Schizosaccharomyces pombe: one gene and its partners. The gene in region 4 interacts genetically with the main gene of each other region. Each region holds a gene or a part of one and is shown on either strand. Other genes may lie near its edges.

Region 1 (7,054 bases), on a different chromosome or scaffold from region 4:
TGTTTGGCAAGCATCCGCTTATTCAAGTTTCCCCCAAGAAGACTGTCGAAGGTTTTTTAGGAGGATGGATTTGTACTGTAGTTATTGGTTCTCTTATCAGCTATGTTTTAATGCACTTCAAATATTTTATCTGTCCCACTCGTGACTTATCTACTTCTGCTTTCAGTGGTCTCAATTGCACTCCAAATTCTGTATTTCTTCCTCACACTTATACTATTCCAGCTGTTTTTGTCGATACCTTTAGACTTCCTGAAACAATTACTCTTGCTCCTATATATTTCCATTTGGCTATCTTCGCTACCTTTTCGAGTTTAATTGCCCCTTTCGGAGGATTCTTTGCTAGTGGTCTTAAGCGTGCTTTTAAAATTAAGGATTTTGGAGCTTCCATCCCGGGGCATGGTGGTTTAACTGACAGAATGGATTGCCAGTTTTTAAATGGAGTCTTCGTTTATATGTATTTCCAATCATTTATTGCAGAAAAGAGTACATCTGTTGCTGATTTATTGGATACAGCAGTTTATAGCCTCACGACCACTCAGCAAGTGCAACTTGTTGAAGATTTACAAAACTATCTCATCAGTCATGGCAAAACTAGTGTTCAAGCTATTTGTTCCAAACTTCTTCAAAACTCAAAATAGCTTACACTTTGTTATCCTCGTATTTGTTTACTAGCCAGTCTTTTATATTATTAAATGCGTTGTCATGTATAGTTTGACTTCCGTTTGTTAGTCATTCGTTATTGCTTGGAAGTTTTGATATCCCATGTCTAATTTTTAGTCAACTCCAAACTAGATCTAGTCGTTCGTTTGCTTTATATAATTTTCAGTTTTTCACCTTAAAAATTTTGTTTGACATTTTCCGAATTAGTTTTCATCAAAAACTTTTGTCATCAGGTTGGTTAAGTGAGCTAGCTTAATTCGCAAACGCTTAGAAAAGTTGATTATTGGACTAATCTCACGTCGGTTCTACTAAAAAACAGTTTCTTGTCTCAACACATACAGTTTTGTTTACCGCTAAAGAATTTCTTATTTTCAACATATTTGATACTTTCTTTAATATTTTAAATTATGCACAGCAATATATATTTTCATTAAATCACACTGTAGTAAATTCTGGTATATAGACCCACTGTAAAACTCTATTTTCTGAGAGTGGATAAGTACTACTGCATTTAAATAAGGAGCATCAGTAGAACAACGGCATCATAACAAAAAAAAAGATGGAAACAAAACATGCAAACCCCAATTTTTTGGGAAATTTTGTAAAAAAAAAAAGAAAAGAAAAATTGGCATCCCGCAAATACGAATTAAGTTAAATTAAGTATTATGTGCTTTTCATGATTTCCTCTTCAGCAGTTGCTTTTTCCAAATTGTATTGGGACTCATCTGCCATGCTATAACTATCATGAACTTCCTTTTCAACGTCCTTCTTCGTTAACGCATCATTACGCTTGAACTCAAGTTGATTTTGTTCATCTTCCATAGCATCATAGTGGTGGAAGCAAACCCAAAACATAATACCAGCAATAAAGGCAGTGACGGCAATACCAGTGTACATCCAAGTAAGCTTAGGATTGACAGCAGTAGAAGAAATGCAAATAGATAGAATGGCACCGAATGCATTGGTGAACAAGAACAAAGCAGTAATAATGGATTTCATTGAAGGAGGGGCCTTGGTAAATGCAAATTCTAAACCAGTAATACTGGCAAAAATTTCAGAGAAAGCAATCAAAACGTAAGCAGGGATTTGGATCCAAACACTGATGTCATTGGAAACACATGTATCAGTAAAATTTGCATAGCAAGGGCCTCTTTGATAAATCTTTGCTTGTAAAACAGCAGCGTAAATCATGGAAGCAGTAGCAAACATAAACCCTAAAGTAATACGAAGGATGGGTTTGAAAGGGATGTTATACTTACGCAATAATGGATAGATGATATTGTCACAAATGGGAATGAAAATAATCAAGGCGATTGAATCGAAGGCTTGGAAAAGATCGTTAGAGACATTACCCGTTTGCATTTGTCCAGCTTGAGAAATTAAGTTGTTGGTCATTTGACCATAGCATACCCAATAGATAGGGTAAAAGAGAAAAGTTTTGCAGGCGCGTAAGGCACGTTTCAATTCGTCGATAAACAAGTCATCCCACTGATCCTTGAGCGTAACGCGTCCAACAGTAGTAGTGCAAGATGGTTTAGTTTTTTCGAGATTAAATTTGTTTTGAGCAGCAAGGAAGAACACTTGACCAACACGAACAAAGATGGAACCGGAGGGAGGAGTGTGCTTGTAAAAGCGCTTACTAACAGCCAAAATAATTAAGGGGATAACAAAGACGCACAAGGGAAGCAAGTATGCGTAAACAAAACCTTTAGTACTTTCCAAACTAGTGGTGGCTAATACGGAGAGAGAACCGACGTTAATTGACCAGTAGAAAATCATATAGGCACGAGAGGTGGTGACGACGGGGTCAACAATGACCTTGCTACCATTTTTCTTGGTCTTTACATAAGGAGGAATTTTTGGAAGCTGTTCAGCCATCAAGGGGGAAACATTGGATTTGATACCACCGGTTCCAAGACCAATGATGATCAAAGAGACGACAAACCCACCCATACTTTTTCCGGCATCAATGACAGAAGGAATAGCAGTACATGTAAGAATCAAGATACCAATAAAGTAAATGACAGCAGAGCAAACAATGGTATTGTACCTACCAAGGAATTGATCAGCAATAAGTGCAGCGCCAACCGGGGTGACATAACACCAAAATGTGAAGAAATTAGAAAGACCGTCAGCACCGCTTTCGCCTAAATTAAGGGCACCTGGAGTAGCATCCTTAGGACCGAATTGCATATAATTTTGAAAGGGAACAGTGAGACCATAGTAAGCGAAACGTTCGCAAAGCTCGACAATAATGATAATAAAGGCTTTCCAAGGAATAGTACCGCAAACACGAGGAAGGGTGGCTAATTCTTCTTCGGTAGGAGAAGGGTATAAGTCACCATTGACGAGGACGCCGGTGGACATGGATTTTTGGAGTTCATCGGTGGAGGATTGTTCGTCAGCGGTGTTGATGGTGGCAGAACCATCAGCCTTTTTCTCCTTGCTTAAGTAGGATTGATCTTCTGAAATGATGAAATCGGAGTCCGATTTCGTAATTTGTTCTTCAATGCTACTCATTGTAAACACAGGTAAATTGAATGTAGGAAATCGATCGTATGAAAATCAAAAATAATAATAAAAAAGAGAATGAACAGAAGTTTCAAGAACAATTTTTGGGTATAAAATAATTACAATGAAACGAGAAAACAAAAGAGGCGAATATTAAAAAAAAAAAAAGAGGAAGAGAAAAATAACGTAAACAAGCGAAAGATTAAAAAACAATTGTAGTACAAAAGATAAAAAAAAGAATAGATCAAAAATAATAATAATAATAATTAGTCAAACTAATTACACAAAATTGACAAGTGAATTCACAAAAAAGTTAAAATAAACACTTTTATATGTGTATCGAAGGCCGACTAACTCAACTAAGAGTAAGAAATATGAAAGTGAGTGAGAGTGAGAAAGGGTATTTAAAACAAGATTAAATATACACAACAACAAATAAGTATTTATGACAATAATAATAAAAAAAGAAAAATTTTTAGAATGAAAAAATTTTTCCTTAATGTATTAAATAAATACTTGGAAATTAAAAGTGTATGTATGTGAAAGTGTGGAGAAAGTCACAACTCCAAACAAAAGAGGTCAAACGATTAATTATACGAACGATGAGGAGTTTCCACTCAAGGTTTTTGAATTTCTCTTACTTCTAAAACACAGACTAGACGGCACGACGAAGGATGTCTTTTGAGGGGATAATTTTCAAGTATAAATACTGCTGAAAATGAAATTTGTCCACACTGATTTAGCAGTCACCACGTGTTCATGCACGCCTTTATCAATGACGGTGAGCAAAGCACGATAGGCGATAGACAAATCGTAAATGTAGGAAACGTGGTATGAAAAAGTTTATTATCTTCCCTACAGATAAATCAAAAAAGAGGGAGGACCGGTCTAGACTGCACATTTTTAATAATTAAGGTCAATGCGTGAAAGGTGGGTTTGATGGTTGATTGGATAAATCAAATGTTATTTCGGACAAAAACGTTAGTGCGGAATATCTATTTGATTAAAAATGCACGAGGAGTAACCATATCGCACAACGTGTGACCTGTTGGAAAAAGGGGTGAAAATTGGTAAATCCGCTGGAAATAGATAAGCTTGGATTTCTTCGTGTGATGCCGTTTTTTTCATCTACTCCACTATCATGCGGAAGGATTGCGCACTTGTTCAGTTGCGTGTTTTTGCTTAACGATAGAAAAAACTCGTGTACCTCCATTTAGGACTTTTGTGCCACCACATCGCATGGTTGAAGTGGAAAGTCGTACTTGACCGAAAAAGTGGGGATGAAATTGGGTACCAAGTGGGGTGCATGGAATTAAATGGTCAAGAGCACAACGTGCAGAGCATATGGAAAAAACGAGTAGCACGTTATAGTGCCAAAAATAGAAGTTTCACTACAGGAGTGAGAATGAGAGTGAGGAGAGGTATAGAAAGAATGTGAGACAATATAGTTAGTATATGTGAAAGTGAGAGTAAAAGGTATAAGTGTTACTATATGAGTATGGATGAGGATGAGGGAAAAGGTAGAAAAGAGATGACTGTCTATGTATTGTCATACATATTGTTATTTACAAACACATCCTCTACGTTTCTTATTCTCTCACGACGACATACAGGTGAACGAAGTTTTTCAATAATTTTAGAGGTTTGAGGGTTGAGTTGTATTCATTGCTTACTTGTAGTTTGCTCATTAATAATAATTACATATTTGTTAGATTCTTAATACTTTGCATATTTATTAAATTTATGTAATCGTTTGATGAGTGTTACATTGTTGTTTTTATTTATTTATTTAACCGTTGAATTCATTCCTTCTTCTCGACATCGGCCTTTACACCACGTTCGCGTGTCTCTTCTCTCTTGTTTCCTTCCCCGGGTATTCCGCGATTAGCGCTGGCGATTCACCAAGGTAAAACTATGTATGCGAATGGTGAGTGGTCTGCTGTAGCACGGTGTGTGCACGAGGAAACAAGGTCTTCTCTTTAAGAACCTCGAACCCGGTAAACATCGTGGGTGGCAGAGATAGTAAAAGCGACTAGTTCGCCTACCCCCACATGAATTGTCGCAAAGATGATGAGGGACGACAACAAGTAGGTAAGGTAAAGTAAAGTAAGAAAGGAAGAATAGTGATAGCATTAATAGTAGTGGGTATAACTGTCACGGAAATGAACATATCACACTCCAAAACGGACTTGTTGGTGTATGAGCAATTTTTCGCACCCATTTTCCCTCATTTTGCCAAATGAAACCATAATGCTGCAAGATTGCTGAAAGTATCGGGAAAGCCTAGTAAGAAATGGTCCAACTCGTTATGCAGCGATACCCTACCCTCCGTCAAGCAAACGAGATGGTTGTGTAAGGCGAGGCACAAGACTTCAAAAAGTATGCAAATTAGCAACAGATAGTATACCCTAAATTCCAAACGATATCTTCTATCACAGAATCAGATTTCTTATAGTAAGTTCATGATAACTTTGAAGAAACTTGAGTTTGATAGCATTAGTAAATAAATCCCCAATAACGAAGGAGTATGCAATGTCACATCGATATCTATGCTTCTAGCATTGCTGATTCTGACTTGACTTTTCTATCTCGTCGTCGGTGCACAAGTTGATACTACTTTGGCAGATGTTTCTCCTTTGAATTTATGAACTTTTAAACAAATTGCTTTTTGTTTCTATGCCCATTCCTTATCAATTGAAAAGGAGAGAGGAGAGAAAAGGAAAAAAAAAATTTGACCTCTTTTTGGTTTTTTGGTTTTTTTTTTTTTTTTTCGCTCTCTAAAACTTATCTACCACACCTCTTCGTCATGTAATTTGAACTATACTTTTCACGTTAAAAACCTTTTCCCCCTTTGATTCCGTCGAAAGTTTCACGGAACCAATGTTTCCAGTGTTTTCATAGAGTTAACAATGCATGTTTACCTACTAGTTGGAAAAAATTCGCAACACTTGTTACTAAGTGCTATAAACTGAACATTGCATTTTTCTATATTTTTTGCATGTTAATTATTTATTTCATTGAGCCGTCCATAATGCTTGTTTTCTTTGCGCCTACTTAACATCAAGTCGTTCTCGTCTTATCAATTGATCCTTCTGCTAATAGATTTTTTAAAGTAACAAACGTCTATAGAGACGCGCATTATGAAGTCCAACAAGTATCGCTAGTTTAATGATAAGTAAGGAAGGGTTTCATTTACGAATTGTCTTCTTTCAAACATAGGTTACTGTTTCCTTCTTTGATATTCGGGTACCTGCATATCACCCATATGTATTTCCTATTTCCGTTGATAAAATGTCATATCACTTAATTTTCTCTTCTCGTCATTTTTTATTCCGACCCTTGTTTTTATCGAACATTCGTTAAATCTATAGATAAACTCCAACGACCGCGTATTGTGTTGGGCAAATTTGCTTAACCCCTTGCTCTGTCTCTTCCGACTTCTTCTTTCCTTCTCTATCCATCCTATCTTACTATCATATCATTGAAATGTCTCGTGTCCGTGTAGGCGAGAATGACGGACGGACATCCTCAGATCAGATATAGAGTCCATCTCTTACGGAATACTTTAATAATGTAATAACGTGTAACTTAATGGTTGTTTACTAGTTATAGCGTGACCTGTCGTACCTTTTTTATTTATCAAAAGTTATTTTGTTTGTTCTAGTCATTATGTGCTGCTATTCATTGAAGCTCTACGATATTGAGGGAACAGGAACGTTGCTGGGCTGAGAGGTCGCATACTTCATGAACGCTCCAAACACCCCCAAGTAGCCTTCATGTCTTAAAAAATATGCATTCATGGTATGGTTGCTCCAATACTGAATGGCATATGTCAACGTGTGCATAGTTTGAACGTGGTTGCGGATGAAGCTGCCGCCAAAGT
Region 2 (6,934 bases), 3.4 Mb from region 4:
TCATCTGTCTCTTCCATTATCCGTTTTAGGGAATTAAGTGCTTCGTACTTGGTCGCTGTCTTCAACAGTTTCTCAACAATCTGCTGAGCTGATTGTGAGCTTGCGACTAAGCCAAATTTTGCTCGACATACTACTTCAACAATAGAATACAAAACAGCGGAAGATATGCGACCATAGGATATAATACAATTTAATAACGAAAAAACTAATGCAATGTCTTCTTCATCGGTGGTGCTTTTTGAGACCCACACACAATTCGCTAGCATAGAAGAAACCTCCATTTCATCAAATAAATTAAAGCCCACCCTGAACATATTCGTAAGCAAGAGAATTATCTGACGAAAACAACGGGTGTAATTTCTCAATTCAGCACTTCCTTTGAAGGATTTTCTCGACTGAGCTCGCATATCATCAATAATCGTAAATAAATCAGTCAACCATTCAGACAAAACTTTAAGTATGTCATTTGAAAAAGACTCAGTTCTTTCGCCTTGGGATGTAATAACAATCAAGGCGTCTACAGTAGCAGGATAGTATTCAGAATTCGGAACCTTTGACAGCTCGTTGAATAATAGTGCACGGTCATCGGAAGACATTTCTTTATGCTTTTCAGCTGCATGAGTCCATAAGGAAATAGTGGCTGCCAGTATGTTTCCGTGAACTTTATTTTCAATAATGTCTTTAGTGGAATCAACAAGTTTTTGTAGGATTACATTTTTACAAAACTGCTCATTGTTGATGAGCCTTTTTATGCGTTTGTAGCGTTTATCCAATGACTGTTGATTCGATATTTGGGTGAGAATCGTGTCTATATCCAAAGCCTTCATAGCTTAGATATAAATCGATGCAGCAAACAACGACAATTTTTCTTTAACCCAAACGTAATATAGGTCCTGGGTTGGCACCGATTTAAGTATTAAGATTTTAAATATATTTAAAAAGTGCTAAATTAAAGATTTAATGAAGTAAACCCAAATTATAGACTGCTTAAGCCGTGGAGGATTATTATAAACTCCTGAAAAGATAGCCTTAAGAAACGTGCAGATATCGAACTGTAACGGATTGTAAAAGCACACCTCAATATAGCATCGATTAGGATTTATTCAATTTCTATGTTTTAGTCAATAAAATCGAAACAATGAGTCTTCTTCGCGTTGAAGAAGTCAGAAGATGGTTAATACATACATAATTTTAGCGAGTATATGATAAATCTGTTGGTGAATTTCGGAGTCAAGGTGGAGATATGCAAATTACTAAATACAAGAATAACCATTTAAAAAATGTTTAATCAACCACATGTATTTCAAGAATCTACATTGAAAAGTATTAAGTATTATCTCAAGTTATGCAACATTTATCATAGAACTAAAATTAAAAATTAAGGAATTTTTTATTAATTGTTTATTTTTTAAATAAAAAGTGTCTCAGTTAATTTATGAGAGAAGCCATTCTCCAAAATTAGTGACATTAAAAAACTGAGTGATGATTTGTCTATTGTGACCGTAAGTAAAGGAAATAATATTGCAAAAAAAATATGATACAAATTAAGGAAATATACCAGTGTAGTAATAGAGTTTACAAAATTTAGTTTGTAAACTTTGTAACCAAAAATCAATGCGGTTAACTATTTCCGAGAGCAAATAGTTATATGTAAACAGGAACAAAAATTCAAGGAGATGCAGGGTCAATTGACCATATGCGAGCACGTAAATCACCACTTCCCGAAGCAAATTGCCTACCATCTGGGCTAAAGCATACGGAAATAACTGAATTCTTGTGTCCTTGACAAGTGAGATAAGATTGGCCTGTTTGCAAATCCCAGAATTGCATACTTCTATCCTTCGATCCGCTTAATCCCCAACGGCTGTCGGGTGAAACAGCTACTGAAAGAACAAAATCAGTATGTCCTGTATAGGTGGCTTTGCAAATACCTTCAGGCTTAATAGCTGAAAGGCCAACTGAACGAGTTGCTTGTAATTCCCAGACTTTGATAGTCTTATCAAGACTTCCACTAAGAAGAATGCTGCTGTCGGGCGAAAAGGCAATAGAATAAACACTCTCCTTATGACCTTCCAATCGTTCAACCAAAGTACCCGACACAGACCATACTCGAATTATCTGATCTAGACTACCAACTGCAATGAATTGATCATTTGGAGAGATGGCTATTGCCGTCACACCATTCTCAATTTCTAACTTTAAAATACATTGACCTGTCTCCACATCCCAGAGTCGTGCAGTTCGATCGCCACTACCAGAGACGATGAATCGCCCATTATGGCTAAAATCTAAGGAATAGATATCTTGTTCATGACCTGAAAATACGTAACGAACTTTTTGAGTTGAGAGATCCCAGAGTTTTATTTGACGATCTTCTGTTCCCGTGACTAAATACTTACCATCAGGGCTGAAAGCAATGGTTCTCACATACAAATCACGGGAAGGATCAGGTGATTCTTCATGCAAAGTAAAAAGTTTTTTGCCAGTCTGAACATCAAAGACATTAGCGGCCTGGTTACAGCCAGTTGCTAAATACTTGCCATTGTTACTAAACTTAACGCAGCAAACAACACTGGGATGCTCTAGTGTGTGCACGAGATTAATATTAAAAACCCTTTTGCATGCTGGGTTATAAGTGACGTACCAACTCTGAGAAGTTGTCTTTCTAGCAGCTTCTGTATCTGAAACTGGAGCAATCTGTTCTCTTCCCTGATATTCTCCATCAGGACCCGCTTGGGATATAGAACCAGCATTCGCAGAAGCAGTCATAGAAGGTTCAGCCGAAGGAGTTGCTTTGGTAGGAATACGCGGTGGCTGGACATTCACAGCAGGTTTTGAAGTAGCACTTGGATTATAATAATTGGAAACACCAGGCAATTGAGGATTTGGTTGTTGAGAAACCTGATTTGCTCCGTAATTAACAGGAGGGATATATAAAGGTGTAGTACTAGGTAAATTGGATGTAGATATCGCGGGATTTTGAGAAGCAATTCCCTGATTAAAATTTTGCCCGCTAGAAGCCTCTACTGAAGGAGGAATTGGAGGCATCAATACTTCAGCAACATTATTTTGAGGATAAGCTGATTGGTGAATTGGAGGGATTTGCTGAAAGGCAGGTAGATGGTTACTTGGAGGCTGAGAAGTAGATTTGGTTTGAGAGGGATGTTCCTGATCAATATGGGTAACTTGATTATTAGAAGCGGCAAGTTCAGATCTTTCTCCACGATTTCTATAACTTGCGGTATTCGCTTCGACACCTAATTCTTCAAGCTCTCGCTTCAACTTGTTGATATCTTTTTCGTACCTATAAATGTTAGTAAATTGGTGAAGACAGATGTTATAAAGGTTTTTTTTTTTTTACTTCAAGCATATAAATCTCGAGCGACACGTATGCTATTATAAAATAATGATGAATTTCACAGAAAAGAAGTAGATACTATATAATCCCTCGATACCTTTAACATATAAAAACTTACGTTTCTCTAATAGATTTTTGTTTTTCATACATATCATCCACGGTTTTTCGGAACGCTTCAATTTCTTGAATTTGAGATTGTATCACTGCAATAGAACAGAATGTTAGTTTCCAAAAAATAGCTAATTTAATTTATTTTATTCAAACACGTACTAGAAGATTCATAGTCGTTTCCGCGCGCCTTGGACGCGAAGCTATGATGAGCCAAAGCATTGTATTCAGCCTTCAACGCATCCAGCATTTCTTGAACTTTCGTGGCATCCTCCACTGACGCCATTTTTTTTTTCAGTCAGACTTATTGCAAAAACTGAATCCGATTGATATACGCCCTTTTACAACAATAGCAACACTTGAATTGTGGTACAAGAATAAACTTGTGTTCTTGAACGTTTGTAGCAGCACTTTTATCGAGCGGCTCCTTGTGCTGCGCTAATCTTTAAATAGAGAATGTGGTGCTACATATTTTTGGTTGAGCAAGTATCACAAAATTAGTATGGCGTGTGTGTTGGCAACTTGTCCCAATTATTTTGAAATTCATTTGAATTATAGAGAAAAGCAATTCGAAACCCTTTACTGTTTGATTTTTTGTAGCGTTTATATTATTTTTTTGAATATAGATTTTCTTGCTTTTCAGTTGATGTTTGTTATAAAAAAATAGTTATAACTTTGAAACGTAGTGTAATTCATTTTTTTTTTATTGATGGAAAAATTTGTTAACCGTTTTTATATATCAATATAAAAAAATTAAAATTTGTGTTTAATCAATTTATTATCTGATCCTTGTTTAATTAGATTGTTTACCGACCTTTGTAAGACATTATTACAGTGAGTTTTATCTTGATAAGTATTAATTAAAAGTTATGATAGTATTTAACCCGTAAATTCACATTTCATTTGCTAATGACTCAGTTAATCATAAGTGACATTATTTGTTTAATGATGCGAAATTTGACGCACTTTACTGATATTAAAACATTGTTGGTTGTCTTAAAGATGCTTTTTTCATATAATCTAGTTATCATGAAGAAGGATGAAAAAATCCCATAGTTGAAATTTATTAACACTAAAGCAAAATGTTTAAGCGCAGCAAACCGAAGCCGTCAGAAATTGAGCATTTAATCTGACACGATATGCCATTTACACTTCAAGGGCGATTAATAAATACACTTTGGATTTATTTTTAAATCATATTTATTGCTTATTTACTTATCAATTTTTGTTTGATGTACTATTTAAGTTGTTTTGAATTTTTTTTTTATATGACATTAGTTTGGGATTACTACCCAGTTTAATCAGTTTAATGATACAGGAGGAAAGCAAGATTAAAAAAGGGACGGACAACGTTCATTGCATATCTTGTTATTGCTTGTCAGTTTACGGCCCTCAGCGTTTGTTAAGCTACACTAACTATTTACTTGTAACTTGATAAATTTTGGTATGCTGGTGGTAATACGAGTAGGGGCCAGACATAAAGCAATGCGACAATTAATGATATGTTGCATAGTGGGGCATAATGTAGTGTAACAGCTGACGCTATATATCATCGAGATGTTTTTACTTACGTTTTACAAACTATTTCACTAAAAAGTTTCCGTATAGTTTTATCAGCAATTTGTTAATATTGATATCAATACATATATATATATATATATAAGTCTATTTATACATCGATAACTCTACTAGTCCCATTGTCAATGCTAGTGAATATACTTGTTTTCCGACAGAAATGACTCGTACTCGTGTACAAAAAATGATACCGAAAACCATTGAATACCAAAAAATGATATCTGGTCAACCGTAAGGCTAATGCTTAAAACTTGTCGAGCTAATATATCATCTTCGTTGACATGTTTGAAGTCACATTGAACGCAGGGAGATATTCTAATTACTAAATAACAGGTACAAGGCTTACGACGAGGAGTTGACTCAAGCGAGATGTAATGCTAAAAAATTAATGCGAAGGTTTAATGACACTATGGGAGATTTGGAAAATGTAGGCCCAGCAGAATTGATTAAAAGACGAGCTGAACTGTTGGCTGAAGTTTTTGTATTTGACGAATCTTCAGCACCAGAGATTGAGCCACCTATGGCTTTTGATTACGGATTTAACGTTCATTTTGGAAAAAAATTCTTTGCAAATTATAATTGTACATTTCTAGATGTTGCCATAATTACTATTGGTAATAATGTAATGCTAGGCCCCAATGTATGTTTATATATATATATAGTTACTTTCAAGTCATTCATTCAAAAAATAAATATACTAATGGTGTCTTTCCAGGTTCAACTATGTACAGCAACACATCCCTTGGATTTTAAAGCAAGGAACTCCGGAATTGAATTTGGTTTACCAATTAACGTATGCGTTAGTCCAGTTATTGAAACATCTTACAACTAACAAACAAAATTTTATCAAGATTCAGGACAATGTTTGGATTGGTATGGGAGTTATAGTTCTCCCAGGTGTTACTATCGGGGAAGGCAGTGTAATTGGAGCGGGTGCTGTTGTTACAAAAGACATCCCACCTAATACGTTGGCTGTAGGATCACCTGCCAAACCTATTCGTAAAATTGAAAACGAGTGAACGAGTGTAATTTTTTTTTTTATTATTTCATCTAACGATTAAATGCTCTTTGAACTTCTTAAGTTCACCTGGCTTGGTTCCTAAATTTTTAAAATAGTATAAATAATATTATATTATGTTTGAGCTTTAAATTGTTATATAGAAGACTTAGAATGCTAAAAGAAATCCATTTCTCACTCGCCAAGTAGGATCAGTTTCCTCCTATGACTTGCTAAAGCCCCCACGTGGTACTGCAATCGATTTTAATTCTAATGCTTAGCCAAGTCTAAAATAGTTGAAATTCTTAGTGGGATAAGAACTCTTAACCCCCACGATATATTTGAATGCTAAATAACCTAACCTAAAACCATTTTACACATTTTATTACTAACTTCATTATATTCTTGTAGAGGAACCATCCCATTCACCAGTTCTGAAGTCTCGACAACGAAAATTCATAAAATATGGCGCCTGCAGAACTTAAACGACCTGATTTAATCGTTCCCTACAAAGCTAGAGTCAAAGCAAATGAAGAAGGTAAAGTAGAAAGCACTTTCAAATTGAACCCAATCGTGAGTTACGCTGATTTAATCGCTCAAGCTTTAGTTCATTGTGGAATATTTTAAATCCTTTCTTTCGTCAAATAATTTATTAAGTTTGCTAACCCTATTATAGTTGGCTTGAGTTTGGTAAGCACAGCCACGTGTATGGCTGCTTTATTTCTTCGTTTCAAGTATGTAAGATATTTTAGGATTTTCATGTTAACGAGAAGATTAATTGCATGGGTTGCTTTTATCCTAACCTTTTCAAATTTACTGAACGCAAATACGTCTCCCAGCTCATCTCCGACTTCAATGGCTTTGTAAGTAATCCTAATTCATTGCATTAATGTAGT
Region 3 (6,354 bases), 480 kb from region 4:
ATTAACTAATGCTTTCACAGATATCGAGGCGCCCATGGGTAAGCATGCGCTTGAATAATTGGAAATCGACTGCCAAACTTTTCCTGCTTCATCTAATTCAACGTCGTCAAATACTTTGTGGAGCATAATGTTGCTATCGGGTCCGTGAATATCAAAAGATGCTAGATCTAGTCGCCAATCGTGCATAGCAATGCGATCATCCAAAACAGCTATACCAGATAAGTAATTCCATGCTTGTAGAAATGCAGATGGATGTAAACGTATAACTAACTGCACACATTCGGTAGGATTTTTTACAGGGATCTGTTTTTTGTCATCTTCTGTAGGGTTATTCCATTGTAGAAAACAAGGGCATATGAGCTCGTGTATGTCAGACTTCACGAGGTAAGATGTAAATGATCTAGAAGAATTCAGAAATACAGGAGGCAGTCCGTTTGCAAAAGAATTTCCAAACTTTTCTTTGAGAGCTTCGTATGGCCCGCTAATGCAAAACAATGGTTCATAAGACATGTCGAATGCAATTGCATCTTTCCGAAAAGCTGCTCGATGGGTAGGACGATAGGATTTCTCAGTCGGTTTTTCGGGAATGGCATATCCCCAAGCATTTATCATGTGTGCGCGTTTGCATACCCATAAATGAGTGGGAAGCCATACCTTCCGAAGTTGACGACCAGCAAATTTTCCACGTATTAACTTGACGGCAGCCAAGGACGGAATTCGCGAATCATCTGTAGAATTGTCTGTAACCAAGCTTCCCGTACTGTCAATTGCTTTGGTTTCACCTGATTTAGCTAACTTTCTTCGCAAGCGTTTGATGAATCTCTTTAACCGTTGTCTGGAAGGTGCAATGGGCAAAGTAGATGAGGAACTGAGTTGCATTTCATATAAAGCTCTATCCCTTAAACCTTTAGGTATCCTTTTTATATTATGAGAAGCTGCTCTTCTTCGTAAACATCGAGGAAGAGCTTGGAAAGCACGCTGAGCGCTGGATTCTTTTGATCTTTTCATAGCATCTTGTAAAGCCGTTATTTCAAAACTCCTTGATTCAATGAATTTTTTTAAGTCTACAGCACCATTTGAAAGGGCAGGTGATTCAACCTCTATGAATCTAGCATCAGCGAGCTTTGACCTTTTGACGTTTAGTCCCTTTGGTTGCGTTCCTCCAGTTGAACGCTTCATTTCATAAAATTAGATAAAGTGGGGGACGGTTTTTGTAGCAGCCTTAATTAGGAAGTTAATATTATACAGTGGAACTTGTTTGTTGCATGGATTGATAAATTACTCAAGCGCGTACGAAAATACCATAAAAATGATTTTTTCTATTTGATTTCTTTTATTTATTAGGTTTGAGCAAACGAATCTGCAAATATTGTTTTGAATTTAGAAAAAAAAATGTAGGTGCTTGATTTGGCAAGTTGACAACGCAAGTTGAAAAGTTGTAAGAATCCACCAACGAGTTGAATTAAGTCGTTGCAAGGAGTTCCTTGAAGAACAATTTGAATGAATATAAAAGGAATAGATGTATCATTTGATGCTCAAAAAAAAGAAATCTTAGAAGGCTTGAAATCCTCCGTACCTGATGCATCACCCAAAGGACACCCAGATAGCCCAATATTTCCATTGCTAGATGTTATAAACTCCCACCCGGATTGGGTAACAACTAGTTCATGTTCAGGAAGAATTTCAGTCTATGTACAAGGAGCAAATTCCAGAAAAGGAGGTGGATACTGGCTTTTCGTTAGTCATCAGGCACATGAAGAACTACCACCGGTTTTAGAAGATGAAAAAGTGGAATACGGAAAGGTTCCCAGTTCTCCGGTAGAAGGAAATCGGGAAATACAATACGCTTTTGAACCCATGATTCTGCATGTTCAAACGAGAAGTTTAGCGAATGCTCAGCATTTGCAAAGAGTAGCAGCAAGCTGCGGTTTTCGGGAAACAGGAATTCAAGGTAGTGAGCAGAAGTTTATTGTGGCTATTAGAACAAGTTTACGAATGGATATTCCTATAGGATGTCTTACAGCATCCGAAAAGCTTCAGTTTTACATTACTCGTGAATACATGTGCTTCCTTTTCAAGAGAAGCGTTGAGTATTTTACTGAAAATGGAAATCGAATGGCTAGACTGAAAGAGCAACTGGAGAGACAGGTAGAGAAAAGGATGAAACCAAGGCGGAAATTAAGGAATATGGACGATTATTTGGTGCAATCGTAAATAACTAACAAGTATAAAGTTTTTTGTATAAAAAGATAGTCCCTGTCTAATAATAATAAGAGTATGGTAATAAACAATCATAACGAAGCATGACTTTCTGGAGCAGTTAGGTGTGATACAAGTATATTAACCCAACGTTTGTTGTCTAATAAAGATAGTTCAAGTCTGTGATCTCTTTTCCAGTTTTCATCAGAATACTGATATATCCTTGATTTGACCACTCTAGTGGATTCTGAAGAGCAAACAAGGGTAGCTTGAATGACTTTCGGAATTTGAATGACAAGATGTGTACAAGAAAGATTGGCAGATATGTTTGTCCCATCAATTGTCAAAGACTTATTGATTTGTAAAAGTGCGTTTTTACGACAGATATATGCGGTCAATAATTTATCTACTTTCCACAAAAATATTCTAAACCTTTCAGGGTTCTTTCCAGTCAAATACTCGTCAGCCCATTCTTGTATGTTCAGAAAGCTTGGAATCGTATATTTATATAAAGCAAACGAGTCGTGAAATACTCGAAAAATTATATAATAGGGAACATCAAATCTATTTCCACCTTCTAGTTCTTCGTCCATGCCAGAGGCGGAAGATATTGGATTCTCTGAGAGATTCGTAAAGCCTATATTTACTGGATTCAACATGATATCGAACCGGACACCAAGAAGCGGTATAGAAGGAGCAGTCTCAATGGCTCCTGTCTTTTTATTTTTTACGAGAAGGGTCTTTCTAGATAACTCCTCAGGATCATTGGGTTGGAAAAAGGAAATACCAGAAAGTCGATCATAATGCAGTGCAGGTTGATTTAACGGAGTCTCTTTCAGAAATTCATTGTTTACAGATAAATTTTTGGACAACTCGGGCTTCTGAACGAGATCGGACAGTGTCGCATTATCTAAAGACTTTAATTCATCAAGCAATACATCCCTTCTGGCTTCAAGGACGGAAATTTCATCGATGAGTGTCGCATTGCCTTCTTCATCGTCCATGGCAGCAAAAAAAATTCATGGAACTAAAAAAACTGTAGTTTCAACAGTTTCTTAGGGCCTTATTGATAACATGAACCAAGCATAGAAATTCAGTTACGCTTAGACTCGTCCACGTATGTCAAAGCGTCGAAATACACAGCAGCTTTTATAATTTAATCACTGTAGCATTTCAGAGTTTCGAACTGGAATAGTATTTTAGACGAGATTTGTAATTAGATCAAAATTAGAGATTGGTAGGTTTGAAGATGTAATGGATAGGAAAAAATGAAGATTGCAAATCTATTTGCAACGAAACGAAAAATTATGCAATATTTTTAACTGTTTGATAATATGTAAATTAAATATTTTCTTAATGAGTTACAATAACAAAGAAATGTATAGAAAGCAAAGTCGGACAAGTTGTATATAACTATATAAAATTGAAGATAATTAAATCGCCAGTTTAAAAAAAAAAATTAAAATTAAAATCTAGGAAAGAAAACAGAATGGTTATTTACAAGAACAAAGAAATTTAACTTATAAAATATATAGAATTAAATTGACATAATCCAGGAAATGAGAATTATTTTGAAGAAAAAATAATGACATTTAACAAAATGACATTAAAAAAAAAGAAAAATAAATTAGTAAAGAAAAAAAATGAAGGTAGTTTTCCTTCTTATATAAATGATTTTAAAATCATTACATTTTATAACTCACCAATTAGTGCATCCCTATTAACAATTCTTTTATTAAAGCTCTTCACGTACAATCCCTTAAAACATTCATATTGCATTAAGAAAGCAACAAAATTGTATATTTAATATTAGATTATGAGCGCGCAAGTGCTATACATTGTAGCAGTTTTAAGGATCGTTGAATGTACATGGGGTTTTGATTTGACAAAAGCCAAGTTTGTGTTAAATGAATGCAAAGGGAGAATGTATTATTCAATGTTAAATAATATAATGTGAACTTTTAAGTGGTATTTGTTTACAATGAGCTAGAACAAACATGATAAATTACATTCTTTAATTACAGTATATATAGTTTAAATTAATGAAGCAAATGTCTACGGCCATACCTAGGCGAAAACACCAGTTCCCGTCCGATCACTGCAGTTAAGCGTCTGAGGGCCTCGTTAGTACTATGGTTGGAGACAACATGGGAATCCGGGGTGCTGTAGGCTTTTTGCTTTTTTGTAGAAAACTAAATTTTTTTTAGTTCATTTATTTTCTTTTACATTCTTTTTTATAAAATCAGTTTGGCATCTATAAAACAGGCAATTGTTATATAGTATATTTCATAGTGTCGAGTTGATTTTTGCTGTCATGTCTTTGATACAATTGAGAAAATGAAAATTTAATAGAAAAGTCTTTGTAATACAAAGAAAATCAATTCATCCAGACTGTAAAACTGGGTTCAAGCGACATTGGGCTTACAGTTTGTAAAACACTAAAAATCGGCGATATTCAATAAAAAATCTACAATTTCCAAAATAGCGGTGAGTTAAAGTGATTACTAAAAAGAAAATAAAACCCAATGAAATAAATTTGAATGAAGTAAGGTAGATTTTTTTTTTATTATTATTTATTTTATTTATTTATTTTTCTCTTCTATAGTAGGGATTGCTTAGATGAGCTTTAGTTCTGGGCATACAAGGCATACGAGTGTAAACACAAATTACCACTGCTGACTGAAAAACGGAAAAGTCCATAAACAACGATCAAAAGTCAAACAGAAACAAAAATTATTGATGTTCGTCTTTCGACTCTCATCACTGCTATTTTTCCTACTATTCGACTTTCGGTTTATAAACACTGTATATACTCGTTTACTACCAACCCTATTATTCCTCTGCTACAATATTGCTACTCATATACCATGATCTAACGCGTGTCACTATGCACCTTTATCGTATTTTAGCGCATTGAATTAGCGCTTGTTTTTTTGGGTCACACTTATCAATGCATCGGGGAGTCCCCCACTCCCCCCACTTACGATAGGCCAGGGTTTCACTATCATAGTCCATGCCACGTTCCAATCACCTTACAGTGAAACCGCCCGATCACAAGCTTAGTATTAGGCAATATTCAGCGATTCATTAAATGGGTTTAAAGAGAAGTAACGAGGCTGTATTAGGATGAAAATTCCGCCATATTTATGCCATTCATCTTTCCCATTCGAAGTATCATATTCAAAGGCGAATTCCTTCTCTCCTAACTAGATTTTTTCTGTAAATTTACGACTGAAAGCTCTTCCCTTTACAGTCCTCCTTCATTGTATCCTCCTTACCCTTGCCAATCCTTACAGCGAGTTCGGCTGCACTAGGCCCCCCTACTGCACCTTATCATATATGCACCATCACCACCGTGTGATGATTGGATATCTCGCACCTTCAATTCGCTCTATGCAGATAAGGACCGAGGGTGATGAAAAAGCAACGATATAGAGACGAGATAAGGACAGGTTGACCAGATAACGATTTTATATAAAGAAGGGTTTTGCCTACAAGCCTCTGTTTACAGAACTCACTTAAGCAGTTTGAAAACTTGCTAAAGTATTATTTTTAATTTTTTATTTTATTTTATGAAACTGGTTGCAGTCTGCATCGTCTGAATATAACGATCCATTAATATTTCTTTGGACGAGTTATTGCTGACTTTTCATACCAATTATATTTAAAACAGGAAAAGAAAGCACTTGAAGTCTTTTACAATCTTGAGACTTGCTATTATAATTTTTCATATTTACTTTTCTTGTTGTTTTACATAAACAGGATAAAAAAAGTTGTCAAATTTATTGTTATAATAATTTTATAAACTTTACTTTGGTTTTGTAAGCACTTTAGATTTTAATACATCTTTAATAGTGCGTGCCTTTTTCCATCCTAATTTCTATCTATTCATTATCACATCTATTTGTTTGTGTTTTTTTTTCTGATTGCGAAAAGGTCAATTTGATTTTTTTTCATTCTTAGTAATTTGTGAGTGAACAAGTTTTTCCCCTATTGGACAATCATTGTTATATCGAAATTTTTTTTTTTCGTTAAAGGAACAGATTATTAATATTTTCCGTTTCTTCTTCTTTTTAATTATATTGTTGAGGTTTCTTAATTGAAAGCTCAGAATTTATTGCCTCGTGATTGGAATTGTTTGGTTCTTTCCTTGCA
Region 4 (10,047 bases):
AAGCTGCAAATCGGTTTCACCATGAATATCTAAGTACGGAGTGGGCATGATAGTGCCTGTATTACTGATCGAGTCTAACAACAAAATCCCACATGCTTTGGTGATGAAAAAGATGCCGACACTACCGGTGCACGTAGCGGCATGCTTGTTGCATTCCCCAGTTAGTCTCCTACTGGAAACCGTATTCTGTCGAGCATTAAAACAGATGACACTGCCACATAACATACAAATTGCAGGAAGGATTGGAGTTTTATGGCACATACAGCAAACTGATTCTTGCATCGAATCAATTAAATTTTCTAGCCTGTGAGGTAATTTGACAAGCTCATATATGCCAGGATATTCCAAAGATATAGTACTATCACCCCATGTATTTTGAGCTAAGTGTTCACACCAGCCAGCGATTAATTCCAAAATCTGATTATTTTCATCAGAAGACATTTGAGAATACAGTTCTTGTAAAGGAGGAACTTTTATTAATTTGGAAAGCCTTTCTAATTCACTGTCATCTTCATTGTTGGAGAATTCATTGAACTCGAGTGAAATGTCAAACATGCAATATAATACCAAAGCAACTCGTCGGAGAAACGGTAAAGAATACTTCTCCACCAAAGACATTAAACGAAGTAAATTAGACTCATCATCCAAAATTTCAATGTTATTTGAAGAACCACACCAAAGCAGTACATTCTTGCATAGAATATAAAATTGGGACTTGGATTGCTGACTATAATTAATGGTTAAATCAGGAACGACCGATGAATCTGCAACCACTTTTATCATAGAAATTATTGTCTTGCAAATTTCTGAAAGATAGAAAAGCTTAACGTAATACAAAATATTATCTTGTTTACCAAAGATTAGCATTAAAGATGAAATTTTCACAAAGTCATCGAAAGTATTTGAAAGCAAAAACGGTTGAATTTGATCATGGTCAGACATCCGGCCATTTCTCAACATGGACTTTAATTGCGAGTGACGATAGAAAATTTTACAAACTAACAGTTTTTGGCTCTCCATTAACAAGAGGGCTTGTTGGTCAGATTTTATGATCTGATCACAAACACACTTCAAAACGGTATCAGATAAAGTCGGCAAAAACGATAATGTTAGGGGTCCCAGTTCATTGAACCACACCGATCGAGTTGCTCCACTTTGTTTCGGAGAGCACCTCTGACTAACTTCTAGAGAAGAAACGGTATAGGCCAAACTGTTCAGTAAATCATGAGGTGAAACATTCGTAAATGTACTTCCTTTAACCAATTTCATAGCCAATTTTGTTGTTTCACAATATCGATCATAAAGGTCGGATACGTCCCGATTATTACTTTGATCAATTAATGCACCATCGGCTATCTTTAAGCGAGCAAGCATTGCCGAGATAATTTTGCTGTTTATCCAAGGTCTCAGGAAACAGCTTCTAAAAGTATCTTTCGTGTCGGACAGAGAACTTCGAACTAATTGATATTCAAAGCTCGAGGAAGACATAGTACCGATTTCCTCTAACCAACCATTCATGCTACGAGGGAAATTAAGGGTGTCAATGTTGAGACACATTTTGGGGATCTGAGGCATAGGCAATAACACATTCGACAATGACCTACAGAGAGGACACATAAAAAATTTAGCAGTAGAATACTTGTAATAGTATTCACTTAACCCAGCGGTAACATCATTTCTATACATGGACCTAGCAACGTAATAGTTTTTAAAACAACCTAAATGCATGAGATGACCACAACCGGAGACAAAAACACCTCTTATGTTATTTCCTGGGGGATAAGCACTTAATAAACGATCTTTTGAACGGTTGAAAACAACTGTATCATATTTTTTTCCAAATGGCCTCGAATGAGATTCCCTATCTAAATTAGGGGGAACACTATAAATTTCATCCAAAATGATTTCGCTGTGAACATCTGTTTTTCGAAGTAATGAGCTTCCTTGAATAATGCCGATCACTCCATATGGTGCTTGATCGTTGCATTCCTCTTGGCAAAGCAAACAATTACCACGGATATGTTCATGGTACTTAACTTCCTCCTCTGGCTCTTCTGTTGTAACTTCATCTTCCGTTTGATCTTCTCCGATATCGAAATCGGTATTTTGGGCAAGAAAAGATGCTTGCTGATCGCGAAACTGCTGCATAATTTTCTTCTGTTTCTCTAAAGCTAATCTTTTCTTTTCCTGCGTTTTCTCAATCTCGTTAGAATCCGAAGTAGAAGAGGTAGTTGAGAGTTCAAAGTGTGTAGCTTCCAGCATGTTGCTATATGCAGATGGATCATTCTTTTGTAAGCCAGCCAATACAGCATTAACTTTTACATGAACATCTTTGTATTTAGGAGACTTGAGAATTGCAAAACAAAGTTCCGCTAAGCAGTACGCACTGCCACCAAATTCTCTCATAATACTACTATCAGTCGGATAACGCTCAGCGCATGAACGGGAGCAGAAGTCATTTGATTTCGAGAATTCATGAATTTTCATAGAGATTAGACACAACTGAAGTGCATCGCCCAGAATAGTATTTCCAATATCGGATGATCCAAAGGACTCCGCTTGAACAAGTGCATACTCAATCGCACGAAAAATGATAAGACTAAAAGTGCTCGCATTGACGGCTGCAAAAAATATATCATGGCCGTCCTTCTCAAGAAATCTAATTTTTGGTTCTATTATAATCGACTCAGCACTTACATTATTTTTCTTCGCCAAACGTTTTTTAAGGATAGTATCTGACTCCTCTCGTTCATTTTTATTATAATGAAAATAATATGGATCCACCAAATCATAATATTCGTCCTTCAAACTGTAAACGCCAAAATCGTGGAGACCGTCAGGTGCTTTGTAGGAAGTTACTTCTTCTCGAATTTTATCAAATGACAAACTCTCTACTAAATTACTTGAAATAGTAGACAGCAATGCAGAATAAGCAAGAGGACCAAAGCATAGCTGTTGAGCTAATCGAGTGCGAATAATATCTTGGATATCAACATGTAAAATTTGTTCGCGCTCTGTTATAAGGGCAATTAATAACTCTAACATTTTACACAACATAGCTGGTATTCTTTCCGTGTCGTAATTGGGATGTTCATTATAAGTCAAATTATAAAGCCAATCAGTAAATTCAAATCTTTGAACAACTGCATTTAAAACCAAGTTTGGATCAACAAACATTAATATTGTTTGAATAGCGAGGATGTCCTTATCATAAGAAACTTCGATGTTATTAAGTTGACGATAGAAAGCGTCAGTTAATAAAATACTACGCCCATTTCTTATCCAAAGGTTACAATCAATTTGAGCTAAAAGCACACAAACCCTCAAAGGATGGTCAAGAAGAGCAAGTAGTGTATCCTTATCCCAATGAGAAGAAGCGTCAACACGACAATATGAAAATAAATTGGAAAGCATCCAGTGAAGAGGATGATAAAAACTTATAGGATCCCTCGACACGGAAAACGGAACTAAGGGCTGTGTAAAATTTGTCAAAGATGAAGAGGGAATACAAGAGAGAGGTTCGAGAGACTCTGCAATGTCTAATTTAGGGTGGGTGATGGAAGTTATGATACATTTTATAGCATAAAACAACCGTTCATATGGTGCTTGTGTAAAACAAGATGAAACAGTGTTACTGAGCATAGCTACCCTTTGCATTACAAACAATATATTTTTCCCATGAGGAAAATCCCACTGTACGTGACTGAGTATTGCCCGTTGTTGTGGAATCACACCTTGGAACACCCGTAACAAATCAATATACTGATGAACATAACGCGTATCATCCACTACAAGCTTTTTGACTTGCGGATGTTGAAGTAAGTATCCGAGATCACTAAACAAATTGTAAGTCCTTCGGGTTTTTAAGACTTGTCGGTTTAGCTGAATTGTGGGAGTGTATTCAATGTCTGAAGAAAAAAGGGTTGACGGCCGGTTAGACTGCGTTAGTAAGCTTAAAGTTGTTGCGTTTAAATTAGTTAAAAAATCATAGTCTTTCACAACGGCTTCTGCAAGACTAGGAGTAGTGAAAAATTGAACGGAAAGAAACATGACAGAGTGGTCTGGCTCTCTATCTGCAAAAAGAAACGCTGTAGCGAGAGACCTATAATGGATTACGAAACGTATACCCATAAGACGCTTAAATAGAAGATTTCTATTAAAAGGAACAACATACAATTTTGAGAGCAGCCCTCTTAACCGTTTCCAAAATTTGAGATCAAACAGCAAAAAGTAATCTAAACGAAGAATGGAAGATGGAGATTCAACGAAGCTATATGACGAAGGAGGAATTGGATGAGGACTTTTCCAATAATCCTCACGAAGAGATACTTGACAAACCGCAGCAGGGCGGGGTCTACGACGAGCGTTTATGATTTGTCGAAGGTTATTAAGGAGTTGAGAGTTAAACTCCGGGCGAATAGTAACGACATCCTGAGTTGCAGTAGTGGGAATAGGTACAGGAGTATGCGTCTGAGGATTATAATCTACATTTTCAGTGTTTTGTGATTCATCAGTTTCGTTTTGACTTTCGGTTTCCATTGAAATATCTTGAACATCGTCTTGACGAGTGTTTCGGTTTACACCAGGATAATCAGCCTCAGCAGCTTCATTTTCTTCTGTCTCCATAACTTCATCAGTTAAATCATCAATATCCTCTCGTTCTGTTTCAAAATCCAGAAGGTCATTTACGTCGTTATCATCATCAAGTGGATGATCAAATCCTGCAATAGTAGGATCGGTCATATCCGCTTCAAAATCTTCATCACCACCCAAATTAGCAATTCTAGTTACACCTGTTTCATCTTGAAGGTTTGCGATAACATCGAGAAGTTCTTCTGCGGCATAAATATCATCCTCGCTATCATCGTCATTAACAATCTCCAGAGGAAGGTTATTAAAATTCACCTCAGGCTTAGCAGGTTTTTCAAGGCCAGGAGACCAGTTCTTCAAAATTTCATCGCAAACGATAATTTGTAAATAATCAGCAAAATAGCAAACATGTGATTCTAGAAGATCATCGAACCATTCTAATAGAATACCACAAATATCTTCGCGAAAAAAATCGCGGGCAGTACGAACATTAACAGCTAAGTTTTCTTTTGAAATAGCGTTCGCGATTCTTATTGCTTCGTGAACTGAAGCCGATGTAGCAACAGCAAAGCGGCCAATAGAATCAACACGTTGAGCGACTTCAAGTCCAAAAGCCGTATTTGACGAATCTAACGCCTCAAGCACACTACCTACAACAGCGTCAAAGGTATGCACTTCGTCGTTCCAAAGCATTACACGGAAAACGTTGCAAGGCCTATCAGCTACACCATACTTTGCGCTGCTAAGACGAGAGGCCTCCTCATCTGCTAAGATGCTACCGACAGTAGATTGAGCTTTAAGATTCACGGGGGAACAAGAAAAGACATCGAGAATGAAGTCAAGAAGAATATGAATAGTTGTACGGATAGAGTGTTGAAGTTCTAGTGGGATCACTTCTTCTGGCTTTTTCTGCTCCTCGTCATCGGGGACATTATGTATCTTGCAGTTAAGGTCGACATTCCATGCCTCAGGATCGCCACAGTCGCAGATTCCACTATAAGAGGTTGAAATAGATACATGAGTCTCGTGACCCTCGTGGTTTGTGGCATGAAAGCAAGGAGCACAAAGAACACATGTGTTATCTAGCCCACAGTTCTTGCAACGATATATCACCTCGCCGGCACGAAATACGTGGCCACAAACCTTGGACCCAGAACGTTTATCTTGTAATTCTTGGGCGCATTCGGGTTCAGAGTGCTGAAGCCTCGAGAGACGAAAGTCAGAAGTAATGGCACCTGGCTTTTCTTTGAGAAAATATTTCCAATTGTCTTCGTTGTAATTCAGCAACGACAGGAAAACCTCTTGCAGCAAGTGCGTTTTTGATTCTTCATTTGAATCGTATGCATGCTTTTCCGCGCTTTCTAGAAGGTATTTTTGTAACCTAGAAGCCGATGGTTGCGAAAGAGGAGCCGGCGGGTCGTGCAATTGCATGAAATTATAGGAAAGGTTCTGTGAAGTAGATCTTGGGCCGCAAAGTTTTCTTCAATAATTAAATTGGTTTAAAAAAGCTATTTAATAAACAACAGGCACGCTAAAGCCACGGAATATACAAATTTTCATCAACAGAAAATTGGGGAAGTAATTGAAACAGCATTCAGTTGAATAAAGCAAACTCCAATCCTCCTTTACCTTCTTTAAACTTTTCTGTTGAAACAAATTTCTCTAAAAATATTTTTGGCAGCTATAAACCGTTCCTTCTTAATATTTCTGATTTGTATACCTAAATGGCGAGTTACTTCTTGCCATTGCCAAAAATCCATTTATACTACTTTCAGGTAACATCGTCACCTTTCTTGTATCAGTAGCCAATTGAAGATACCAAAAAATGACACCAGCTTGATAAATTCATCAGCTGTAGTCAACTCTTTAAAGCCATTTACTTTCAATTCAATTTCCTATTTCCTTCTTCTTAATATGTGTTAATATGTGTTGATTGCTTTTTTTCGTTTCGATCTAGTGGGCTTGATTTCATCCTTTGCCAGATAGGAATCACCATCATATGAGTTGGAAAGTAAGAGATATGCACCCTAGAGTAATCCAGCTCGAGATTCTTAAACTATTTATCCTTTTTAATCTAATTAAAATTTTTTCCTTTGGGTGATAATTTTCCATCGAGTTTGAATTACCCAAACTTCTCAATTATCTAACACCCCAAGATTTCAAAGTAAATATTGTTATCGCAGTGCATAGTAGATTTTAATGAGCGCTTGAATACTTCGGGCCCATGGAAATCATATCAAGGTTAAACAGTAGCATGCGCACACTATATTTTACTATACTATACTATAATACTTTAAGTAGGGCCAAAAGTTGATGGCTTGAAAAATGGGTTAAATGTTGAAAAAGGCTTTAAAATAATAGATAACCTTAAAGAAATAAATATTACTTCATGGGAATAGTTTATTTAAATTTCATTAGTTTTCCAGCAGTATTGTTAGCAAATAAAAGCAATTGCTCTTACATTGTTGCCGAGCACGGAGGCTAAATTCGACTCTTTCCAACTAATTAAGTTGGCACATGACGGGAATAGTTAGTGTGTTTAAAATAAATTTAGCAACAATTATTGCTGATCTTTCTTTAGGGAAAAAGGAAAAAAGTGTCACAAACCGGGATCGAACCGATGACCAACAGATCTTCAGTCTGTCATGCTCCCAACTACACCATTGCGACTGTTGTCGGCTTTCTTGAATTAGTAATATGTAATATGTTGTTTAGAAAGTGGTAAGTTAGTGTGCTTTTCTTATATTTACAATGTCAAGTGTTTCTTAAGCACATAAGTAGTATAATATTGAAACATAAAATAGCAAGTATAATACAGTTACTTTATTTTCTCTGGAACAAAGATGGCGATCGGGTAGTGAGATTTACAGAATAAGACAACATTATACCAGATACAAGCTGGAAAGAAATCACTTAATAAATTGTAAAGGCAAGACCAATATTGAAAGTATGATGAATGCCAGAAAATGAATGTCGTTCATATTAGCTTGACTGAATCATAGCAAAAATGGAATAGGTATTAATATCCGAGTTCTCCTCATTTTCTGCTTCCAATACCTAGTTTCTCATACAAAGTGGTTCAGGGTATTGACCACTATATGACTACGCTTTATAGTGCAACAATCAAAGCTTTTTTAATTGAATAGGTGCAGCTATCGCTTACTTTTATCTTGCTACACTTTGTCCAACTTTGAATATCTCTGCTAAACGTTTGTCATTAAGGTTAATCAAACGACTTTTATCATTCGAGTATGTTGTTACACTACCCTAGTTTCTTCTGCTAATAAATTATCAATCGTACGTTAGATGTAGCCAAGCGAGAAATCGCTACTTAGTGTTGCAAGCAAAGATGCATACAATGCAAATGCGCAAAGCCGCATCAGTAGTATAAATTGAATAAATAACAAACAGCATTTATACATGGATTTATCAGCCTTGGATATTGAATTTAATTATTTCCTCAAAAACCTAGGATAATGTAAAAATAAAGGGACCAGCCGGATTTGAACCAGCGACCTGGGGATCTGCAATCCCTCACTCTAACCACTGAGCTATGACCCCTTTCTGACATTTCAGTAATTCCTAATGTTATTTAACGGTTTTAACAACGAATAATAATATATAATTGAAGTTTGAGTACAATTTATTTATGAATATTTATTTTTGGAAGTACGAATCGTTTTTAGCAATTAAACTTGCAGTTGTATATATATATTTGTTTAATGATAAGAAGCTGTTCTTTTTTTTTGTAGTATTCAGTGTATTATGGAGATCGTATTCGCACGTGTCATAAAAAAAAATTTACTATTATAAACTTTTTTTTTTTTTTTTTTTTTTTTTAAAAAAATAAAATACGCATATACCTTCTATTTAAATAAAACTACGTAAAATAACTTAGTTTGAATATTTTTTTTTTCGAATTCGCGTGCCTATTTTAGTATTGGTATAGGTAAAATCGAAAAGAAAGTGTGGTATTAACAAACATGATGAATATTCATTCCTTTGTATGCAACATAAATAAATTGCGATTAAATTGGTTAAAGATGAATAAATTATTTATTGTTCTTGTGAATATTTAGTATCGTGTAGCATCAGGGAAAGGCGAAATTCGCATTATAATCATAATAATATTGGCGTCTAATACACTATTACTATAGAAGAATTGGTATTGCTATTTACTCGTATACTTTTGACTATTCACATGGTATATATTCTTTCATTTTATCTAAATTTATATGAGAGTTTATTATCCTAGAAATTCAGCTAACATTTGATTATCAAGAAACACAACCTAATTACAGGTAATGACAGAGAGCCTGATATTTTCGTAAACCAACATTTAGCGTAGTAAATTGGTTGACTGGAAGATTTATTCCCTTCAATCCGGTTCAAGTGAAAAATTCAATCATATTTAAGAGGGATTCATTCGGTGCAACAGTATTTTCATCAACCGGTAATAAATCATATATTGTCTGAAAAGTTTCAAATCTTCTTTGTGCAATATCTTTGTTTTTATGCGTTCCACTAAAAGCATCCAAAATCAGCGCATTCCAAAATAAAGGACTTTTGTCAAATTGCGGCTGCATAGATTTTTGAAGGTACTCAACTGCCTTAGCAAGATTTTCAGAGACTAGTTCATGAAAGCTAAATTATGATTAGTTGATTGATGTCGATACTTAGTACATACCGATGCAAGTGTAACTGGAGAGACACATTAGATAGACAATGCTTTATCCCCCAACGATCTAGAATATCTAGTTTCCAGAAATCTGAAAGCTTCATTGGTCTCAAAGGATGCGTACTTGCATTTCCACCCATTAAATATATAATGTTTCTATTCAAATCAGCCGCGACTGCGTGTCCAAACCTTTTAAAATTAAGCGTCAGATGATTTACCTTTTTCCCAAAGACATACCTGGAACAAGGATGTTCATTTCCTTCTTCTTCATTAATATCACTTATTTTAACCCATTCCTCTGTCGTTATGTAAAATATCCATAAACTTGGTCGAAGGACTTTGTGAATGTTTCGCTGTTCAAAACCAAACATAGTGAAAATGCGATGGTTTTTCGAATCCATAATACTCCTTTGACAAAATGAAGGACTTGGACTTTGGGATGTATCGTTTTTCCTAACATGCTGCACAGCTTCTCTTGTTTCTAACTTAATATAACACATGTCTAAGATGAATTCTTGATCATAGCTTTGACCACCGAAAATATAAAGTTTGTTCTCATCAGGAAAATATTCCATGCAATGACCCATCCTTTCAATCTTAAACTCACAGTGTTTTTGACGATCCTCATACCTGACAGCCAACTGTTCCCAAATTCGATTTTTCGTATCATATGCATAAAGTCCCTCGAATACCAGTTCATCTGGATCCCATTTACATCCACCACTCACATATACAATACCTCGCTTTTCGTCTACTGACATTCCATGGTCAAAAATAGC

The links.
Region 1: of ubr11 (region 4) and ptr2, extra expression of one rescues a mutant of the other (dosage rescue), as found in Schizosaccharomyces pombe (one study listed by BioGRID).
Region 2: of ubr11 (region 4) and tup11, extra expression of one rescues a mutant of the other (dosage rescue), as found in Schizosaccharomyces pombe (one study listed by BioGRID).
Region 3: of ubr11 (region 4) and mal2, a mutation in one rescues a mutant of the other (synthetic rescue), as found in Schizosaccharomyces pombe (one study listed by BioGRID).

Annotation. Positions count from the first base shown.
Region 1 is NC_003423.3:3,404,513-3,411,566, forward strand, and holds ptr2 (PTR family peptide transporter), read right to left. Parts: upstream 3,848-7,054; 5' UTR 3,181-3,847; coding exon 1,324-3,180; 3' UTR 1,063-1,323; downstream 1-1,062. Other genes in the region: bbl1 (phosphatidate cytidylyltransferase), read left to right, coding at 1-638; ptk1 (Fbl-like pantothenate kinase), read right to left, coding at 6,864-7,054. UniProt on the Schizosaccharomyces pombe protein: Uptake of small peptides.
Region 2 is NC_003424.3:297,960-304,893, forward strand, and holds tup11 (transcriptional corepressor Tup11), read right to left. Parts: upstream 3,838-6,934; 5' UTR 3,753-3,837; coding exon 3,629-3,752; intron 3,562-3,628; coding exon 3,477-3,561; intron 3,453-3,476; exon of another isoform or gene 3,305-3,452; coding exon 1,669-3,304; 3' UTR 1,319-1,668; downstream 1-1,318. Other genes in the region: SPOM_SPAC18B11.11 (GTPase-activating protein), read right to left, coding at 1-827; SPOM_SPAC18B11.09C (serine O-acetyltransferase activity), read left to right, coding at 5,202-5,272, 5,375-5,681, 5,757-5,834, 5,893-6,060; protein pat10, read left to right, coding at 6,504-6,576, 6,715-6,772, 6,812-6,901.
Region 3 is NC_003424.3:4,182,372-4,188,725, reverse strand, and holds mal2 (kinetochore protein mal2), read right to left. Parts: upstream 3,445-6,354; 5' UTR 3,204-3,444; coding exon 2,292-3,203; 3' UTR 2,215-2,291; coding exon of another isoform or gene 1,501-2,214; 3' UTR 1,310-1,500; downstream 1-1,309. Other genes in the region: pop100 (Rnase P/MRP subunit), read right to left, coding at 1-1,179; wybutosine biosynthesis protein Tyw3, read left to right, coding at 1,501-2,214. UniProt on the Schizosaccharomyces pombe protein: Component of the kinetochore, a multiprotein complex that assembles on centromeric DNA and attaches chromosomes to spindle microtubules, mediating chromosome segregation and sister chromatid segregation during meiosis and mitosis.
Region 4 is NC_003424.3:3,698,769-3,708,815, reverse strand, and holds the start of ubr11 (ubiquitin-protein ligase E3 Ubr11), read right to left. Parts: upstream 6,325-10,047; 5' UTR 6,022-6,324; coding exon 1-6,021. Other genes in the region: mde6 (muskelin), read right to left, coding at 8,979-9,234, 9,278-9,457, 9,506-10,047.